2 linked regions of the Neurospora crassa OR74A genome follow. The protein of the gene in region 2 interacts with the protein of the main gene of each other region in a pairwise test. Links are inferred from orthologs where the notes say so. Each region holds a gene or a part of one and is shown on either strand. Other genes may lie near its edges. The genes, in order: NCU09512 and NCU06149.

Evidence for each region.
Region 1: the proteins of NCU06149 (region 2) and NCU09512 interact in binary tests that used the Saccharomyces cerevisiae proteins (3 or more experiments, as listed by UniProt). The link is inferred for Neurospora crassa OR74A from reciprocal best matches to the Saccharomyces cerevisiae genes DHH1 and LSM3.

What each region holds. Positions count from the first base shown.
Region 1 is NC_026503.1:55,330-58,896, forward strand, and holds NCU09512 (U6 small nuclear ribonucleoprotein), read right to left. Parts: upstream 2,064-3,567; 5' UTR 1,900-2,063; coding exon 1,777-1,899; intron 1,667-1,776; coding exon 1,574-1,666; intron 1,417-1,573; coding exon 1,339-1,416; 3' UTR 753-1,338; downstream 1-752. Other genes in the region: NCU09513 (GTP-binding protein 1), read left to right, coding at 92-447; NCU09511 (hypothetical protein), read left to right, coding at 2,483-3,567. UniProt on the Saccharomyces cerevisiae protein: Component of LSm protein complexes, which are involved in RNA processing and may function in a chaperone-like manner. Component of the cytoplasmic LSM1-LSM7 complex which is involved in mRNA degradation by activating the decapping step.
Region 2 is NC_026507.1:1,628,907-1,633,300, forward strand, and holds the start of NCU06149 (ATP-dependent RNA helicase dhh-1), read left to right. Parts: upstream 1-1,508; 5' UTR 1,509-2,217; coding exon 2,218-2,261; intron 2,262-2,315; coding exon 2,316-3,981; 3' UTR 3,982-4,394. UniProt on the Saccharomyces cerevisiae protein: ATP-dependent RNA helicase involved in mRNA turnover, and more specifically in mRNA decapping by activating the decapping enzyme DCP1.

The sequences.
Region 1 (3,567 bases), on a different chromosome or scaffold from region 2:
GTAAGTAAACACAGCGCTTCCTTTTGTCTTTACTTTCCTCTGCCCCTTGGTGCCATTCAAAAAATTCTGTATGTATCCTAACGTGCACTAGTCCTCATCCTCTCCCACGCAACCACCATCAAAACCAAATACCAGGCCATGCTTCATGTCGGCCCCGTCTCCCAGACATGCGCCATCATCGACGTTGATCGTCCGTTTATCAGGACCGGCGATCGGGCTACCGTCGCGTTTCGGTTTGTCCAGAGACCCGAATACCTAGTCCCGGGAGACAGACTTCTCTTCAGAGAAGGCAGAACCAAGGGGTTGGGTATCGTCAAGAGTGTGGGGTATGATCCTGAACGGCCGTTGGGCGGGGTTAATGTAGGTGAAGGGGGTGATAAGGTGGCTGCGGGCGTTGAAGATGTCAAACATGAGGGTGGCGGTAACGAGGTGAAGGTTGGTGCTTAGTGACCTGGCACCTGGTGCTGATTTGGCGTTGGGCAGATGATGTTGTGATGACCCAAGTTGGGGGCCGCGTTACCTTTTTTTCTTTATACTTTCTTTGATGCATGGCCTCATCTCCTCGTTTTGATGGCTCATATACGGAGCGGCGCAGTCAGGGCACAGTACAGAACTAGTGGTGACCCACTACTTGCAGATATTCAAGTAGTAGTAGGAGTAGTAGTAGTAGTAGTATCATGGACGATATGGCTTTTGTATGTGTCGGTGGAAGATGAGTGACCTACAGGTATTCTCAAATGAACATATGAAAATTCTTGAGCAACGTACTGTATTCTTTGTACGAGCGATCCTTTTCAGCCTCCTCAGGAGGAAGGAGATTGCCTGGCTATCAATGCTCCATGGCCGGGAATAACAATGGTATATCTGTGCCGTGATCTATCTTTCGGCTCTAACGACAAACGATGAACGTGATGTGATGACGGTGATAGTCACATCTCAAGCCAACTTCTCTCCTTGTATCTCTCTCCTATCCTCTTCCCGAAGCTTGGTTACCGGTTTCCTTTGTAAGCGCCGCCCCTCTCGACCTTGAGGTAGCCACCACCTAGGTAGGTAGGCTTAGCGACGACCCATGTCCAACTCCCACTGAGACAAACCTTCGGCTGCTGACTGTCCAGAACCCTCCGCCGTTGCCGTTTCCTTTCCCTTCTCTTCCAAATGCTCCTCCTCTTCCCTATCTACCCCCTCCCAAAACTGCGCCTCATCCGCCACGTGCAATAAGTTCCACCTGCCGATGGGCAACCGGTCCTGGCCAAGCGGGCCACCGGAGAAGGGTTTGATGCCGTAGCGGTGGCGGAAATCGTGCTCGTCAACTGGTCGCTCCACATACACGGCCTCTTCTCAAGAACGGGTAAAGGGCGAGATGAGCACGACGGAATCGCCGCGAACGAAGAGCATTTCGGACTTGCGGGAGATGGTCTGCCTTTTTGTTAGTATATGAGAGTGACGGAAAGGGAAAGCAAAAAAGACAAACGAGGTATGAGAAGGAAAGGGGAAGGAGGGTGGGTATAATGGGAAAGGGGTGAGAGGTGGTTTGACGAGAGAGTGGCGGTGGGTAAGTGAAAAGATGGCATACCTTCAGGTCATCCTCCTCGGTATCTTCATCATCCACGACGTAAATGGTCTCTTCGACTTCCCCGAGGACAAGGTTGCAATGGGAGTCGTAGGCCTACATCACAGTATCCGAGTTAGCAATGAGTTCGGGTGGTGGTGAGTGAGGCGTAACGGGAAAGATGTGACGACTGAAAAGGGGATATGTAAACATAAGAGTGGACTTACGTGCAGACGGCCCTTGAGCTCCCGATCACCTCTCAGCTTGACGCAGACAACCTCGTCAAGCAAAAGGCGGACGAGGTCCATGGGCTCGGAAACAGAGCCGGCATCTTCTACTGCGTCGGCCATTTTGTGTGATGTGTGATATCAAAAGAGCCAAAAATAAATAACGAGTGAAGAGAGAGAAAAAAAAATGAAGTTGGCGTTGTGTTCCTGTTGTTGATGGCGGGGACCTCAGCTGCAGCGCCCTGGAACGATGATGAGTGAGTCCAGTGCCAGTGACGGACGGCGGGGGGTTTCCATGCCTGCCCGATTGGAAGCGCTCGCTTCGGTGCGAATTGAGGTCAGTGCCAGCTGGTCGCATGCCAAGAGCAACTGAAGCAGCCCGACGCACTGACCGCTTCCGAAGTGGAAGCTTGACCGGTTCTTAAACGCTTATGCCAGAGCTTCGGCTGGGCAAGGTCTTGGCAGGAACAGGCGCCCAAAGTGACAACAGGCCTTCCCCGGATTTGCAAAGGCGGGCATCGCGAGATCCATCGCACTTCTCCTCTTTGAGTTAGCGGGGTTGACTTACACCTCGACTTCAGTTAGTACCTAGGCACGCCCACCAGGGCACTCAGCTCCCCTTCAACACCACGGCCGAGCTTCAATTGCGGACGAAAGTCGCCAATGGGGGTGGTGTACAACGCCGTCAACCCCAATTTGCAACCCAATGGCTGCCCTTCTCTCCTGTCGTGGGGTTCGAGTTCCTTCTCCGAAATCTCGACGACTAGCCTCCGCCGTCAACAAGCTCCAGAAGCTCCCCCATTCTACGACCCAAACAGCAAAACCCATCTCAGCAATTCCATACCCAGGCAACTTTGCCCACCATGGATTCGGTCACCAACTTGACGGACCTCGACAGCCCCTCGAGCAAGATGAGCTCCTCCTCCTCCGAACCCTTCTCGCAAGACCCGTCGTCGCAAAGAAGCCACCTGTGACAAAACGGTCGCCTTGGATAGACGGCTTCACCGCGGCCTTCAGACAACCCCACAAAATGCTCACTTATTTCAAGGAGAACAAACTCGAGATCCTTCAACTTCCACCAACAGCATTCAGCGAACTTCTCCGCTCCGTTGACCCCGTCGAAGCCGTTCACAAAGACCAAGATCCGTTAGGAGACATATGGGTCGACCCAGCCATGGCCGATTGGTCCCCTTTGGGGGCTCTGGTCAATAATTACGGCGTCAGAAAAAGAAACACCGACCTTTACCCCCTAGTTCACGAAGCTGCCTTTCGTCGATTCCGCTCGGGTTCTCCCCTTCTTTTGTCCGACTACAAAGTCCTGCTGCGATGCGCCGGATCGATTTCGGACCCCCTCTTGGCTCGCAAGATCTGGTTCCACATGAACGTCTCTGAAAAGATGTGGGAGCGCCAGACGGACCTGTATGCCGAATTTCTCAAGGCCCGGTTCTTGACGGAACCGTTGTATACCCAACACAACCGGCATGACTTCCGCGTCAAGCCTGTAAACCTCTTTCCCGAGCAGCGGTTTCTGCCGTACTTCACGCCTGACAACTTGTCTCAGCTGCGACAGATGAACTTTGACAAGACCAACAAGCGGCTGGACAGGTTTGGGCAGAATCCTGGCGCAGAGCACAAGGTGGATTATCTGATGAGGATGTTACGGCGGACTTCACCCGTCGATCTCGTCTTTGGCACCGCGCGAAACCGGTTACATCTACTGTCAGAAGAGTTCGTCTGCGCTGCTCTCATCGCCTACGCCAGGACAGGGGTAATGGAAGACGTACAGTCCGT
Region 2 (4,394 bases):
AGTGTGGGGCAGTTCCCGATTACCGCTAAAACCAAGTCGATTTGGATAGGTACAGTGGGGCGCCAAAAAAAACGAACGTTTCTTTTTTACCCGCAAAAAGGGCCAAAACTCAACTTCTTCTACTCTTAATTTCTCAACGTGGTTTATTGCAAAACTCACTCCACGTTCTAAATAGAGATAACTTTAAGAGGAGATACTAATGCAAGTTGTCCGAAAAGATACACTCGAACGGGGGGCAAAAGCGTAAGTACTAAAGTCACTTTCCGAAAAGTATCTCAGATTCTATCCACTATAATGCACTCTAAATGCACTATAACCAAAAATCCTTTTCAAACTCTCATTTGAACAATTGTGATTACACTACTAAACCAATGAAGTCAATTTCATTTATATATCTGGGGAGTATAACTATTTAACTCTGTCCTCCTTTAGTGCATCTGCTTTTGAAAGGTAGTTGGCATGAAAACTAGGGAGTGATAGAGTTGAGTTTTGGCCCTTTTTGCGGGTAAAAAAGAAACGTGTTTTATTTTTGGTCCGGGACTGTACCCTTAAGGGGGGGCTAGCCTTTTTACAGTAAAGCTGGCGCCCAACTGCAAGCCATCTGCAAGCCCACTGTAGCCTCTGGGCGCTCAGAGTGGGTATGTGAACGTGGCTACACCTGGCACAAGGTGTGTGCAGGAGGCTGTCAGCTGTAGGGCGCTCGCTTACAAACCTAGATCGGGTAAGGTGGCCCGCCGAGCCCGCTAAAGGGGGAGCTAAGGGGTATCCAAATCGAATTGAAAAAAGCGGTACTACTAGACTTAGTCGAATGTACCTCTCTGTAGGTACCTATGTACATACTTGACACTGGGCACGCAAGACGGCAGTGAAGAGACGGGCATGATGTACACATTCATGGATCTGACCGTGCTGGAAAATATCGAACTGTTTTCCAATTGTCAAACTTTTTGTCAACTTTGATCATTACTTTGTCCAATTTCGGCTACCTACGTAACAAAGCCCAGAAGGACGTCCATGGACGGGATGTCGCCCGCGATATCCCACCAGTGCGCCGGATGACGTCGATATATACAATGTAGAGGTACGCTAGGTACACTGGGCCACCACCAGAACTACTATGCAGTGTACACTACCCAGGCCAACAGAGAGGAGGCACAGGCAGCGGTCATAGTGTAGGTACACTAGTAGAGGTATAAACCGAATTGCCCCTGAAGTGGGACTGGAAGGCGATGCCGCGGCCGACTTGTGGCCTATGAGTGGCGCCCCCCGCCGCCTTCCATTATGAGACGAGATACACTACACTACGCAGGTATGGAAATGGAGGTCCCGTTCGGTCCCGTCGTGGTGGACACGCTGCTGATTGTGCGATACACAACTGGACTGGAAGGCGCAGGCAGGGTTCGGCAGGGAACATCAAGGGAACACGTGATCCGAGACCCTTTCGGCAGTGGAGTGAACAGTTTTGACGAGGAGAGGAGACTGGACCTGGGACCTGGACGCTCCGGCTCCTTCGTCCACTCACTCGCCCAGTCCTAAACAGCACTGAATCATTCACGACTTCCGCACCGCCTCGCCTCGTCCAAGCTTCGGAAGTTTCCCTCAAACTCTCTGCCTTTCTGCCCCGCTTTCAGACGACGACCACCACCACCACCACAACAACGACAACACTTCAATCACAACAGAACAGAAACACTTTGAGCTCGCTGCAAAGCACCATCTCGTCCCACTCTCCCAACGGCATCGCACACGTCGCTTTGATTCGCCCTTCAGTTTTCACAGGCCAATCAAGTCCCAGCCGTCGACCCCGAATCGGATTCCTCGCAGCCTCTCCCACAAAAGACGTCGCTTGACTTCGAGGCATACAGGCAAAATCAAACGACTGAGAACGTCCTTGGTGCTCCCACACGCAACGAGCCTCCTCGCGACCCCATCCCCATCCACCGCCGTCTCATCTTTGCCCCACGACCGCTCGCGACAGGCCTCCGCCTCCGCCTACAAAGCTACATCTGTCTGGCTCTGCTCACCGTCAACAGACCGAAAAACAAAAGAGAAAGAGGGGATTCCCACCCACAACTAGTGCTCCTCTCCCCTTGTCAACCACTTGTCCATTTCGCTACACACACCCGGAGACGAAGCCATCGCGCTCTACGCTCTCCTTTCTGCAACATCTGAGCCTCGACCACGGGTTCCACAACCGAACAACGACCATCCGGCAAAATGTCCGACCAACTAGCGGATCAGTTGAAAGCTACTAGTCTGAGGTAGGTTGACCGCCTTCCCTTCTGTCCCAAACCCAGCTGACATGTTTTTGATAGCTCAGGCCCGGAAGACTGGAAAAAGGGACTTAACCTACCTGCCAGGGACACAAGACAACAGACCGAGGATGTTACAAACACGAGGGGTCTGGATTGGGAAGACTTCATACACGACAGGGATCTCTTGATGGGCATTTTCGAGGCTGGCTTCGAGAAACCGTCCCCGATTCAGGAAGAAGCGATCCCCGTTGCCCTCACCGGCCGAGACATCCTCGCACGCGCAAAGAACGGCACCGGCAAGACCGCCGCTTTCGTCATTCCCGCCCTCAACAAGATCAACCCTAAGGTCTCCAAGATCCAATGCCTTATTCTCGTTCCCACCCGTGAGCTTGCCATGCAGACATCCCAAGTCTGCAAGACGCTCGGCAAGCATCTCGGCATCAACGTCATGGTGACAACCGGCGGAACTGGCCTGCGGGACGACATTGTGCGTCTGCAGGACCCCGTACACATCGTCGTCGGAACACCAGGTCGTATCCTCGATCTAGCTGGCAAGCAGGTGGCCGATCTCAGCGAGTGCCCAATGTTCATTATGGACGAGGCTGATAAGCTCCTGTCGCAAGAGTTTACCCCCGTCATTGAGCAGCTCCTGCAGTTCCACCCCAAGGATCGTCAGGTCATGCTGTTCTCCGCCACTTTCCCTCTTTCGGTCAAGGATTTCTCGGACAAGAACATGACTAGCCCGTACGAGATCAACCTCATGGACGAGCTTACGCTCCGCGGTATCACTCAATACTATGCCTTTGTTGAGGAGAAGCAAAAGGTTCACTGCCTCAACACTCTGTTTTCCAAGCTGCAGATCAACCAGTCCATCATTTTCTGCAACTCTACCAACCGCGTCGAACTGCTTGCCAAAAAGATCACTGAGCTTGGATACTCGTGCTTCTACAGTCATGCCAAAATGGCTCAGCAGGCGAGAAACCGTGTCTTCCACGACTTCCGCAACGGTGTTTGCCGCAACCTGGTCTGCTCGGATCTCCTCACCCGCGGTATTGACATTCAGGCAGTGAACGTTGTCATCAACTTCGATTTCCCCAAGAACGCCGAGACGTACCTCCACCGTATTGGTCGTTCTGGTCGTTATGGTCACCTTGGTCTTGCTATTAACTTGATCAATTGGGATGACAGATTCAACCTTTACAACATTGAGCGCGATCTTGGTACAGAGATCCAGCCCATTCCTCAGACCATTGACAAGAGCCTCTACGTGTACGAGAACCCTGAATCGATTCCCCGGCCCATCTCGACCTTCAAGCCTATTGCCCAGCAGCCGCAACAGCAATTGCAGCAATCGCAAAGGCCTCAACAGTCTCAACAGCAACAGCATTTCTCAACACAGACACAGCCGTCAAACCAGCTCCCGCCTCAACAGGGCAACCAACAACTTGGCTTCAATCCTCAAGCTCAACAGCCTCACAGACCCATCCCCCAGGCCCAGGGTGATTGGCAAGGGCAAAACGGTCGCCAAAATGGCACAGGTGCTTCCAACAACCAACCCAGACCCACCAACTACCAGAACAATCGCGGGCAGCCCGGTAGCAGCCGCGGAGGTCGTGGACGTGGTTTCCAGGGCCAGGGAGGCCGTCAGAACCAGAACTACGGTGGTCAGCGCGGTCCTCGTACCCAAGGTCAGGGCCAGCCTCAGGGTCCACTGTCTGCCCAGTAGGGTAAACTCTCCCAACAAGTTTTGGAAGGAGGGGGATATGTGGTAATGTGAGGAGGTGTGCGACCATGCATCGCTTCCACGTTGTTTTGTCTTTGAATTGTACATATTAGTCGTCCTTTTTTTTCGGCCATCTCTTTCTGTTCCTCCCGAACTGTGAATGGGCTACCATGACGGCAAGTGTTGTCCCTCGGCCTGTCAGGTTTGCGTTTACGCTACGGCAGACTCGTCTATCACACTCTTTCTGCCGACCCTGCAAACAGTTCAACGACATGCACGGAACTGTACTACGACACATTCTCTTTTGGAGTTTGCCCCATTTCAAGGATTTTTCGATACGGTCCAGCTTCATCCTGTTCGCATTCACGGCTTACAACGCTTCGGCATGGGCGCGGAGTCTTGGGTGGTGTGGGGTT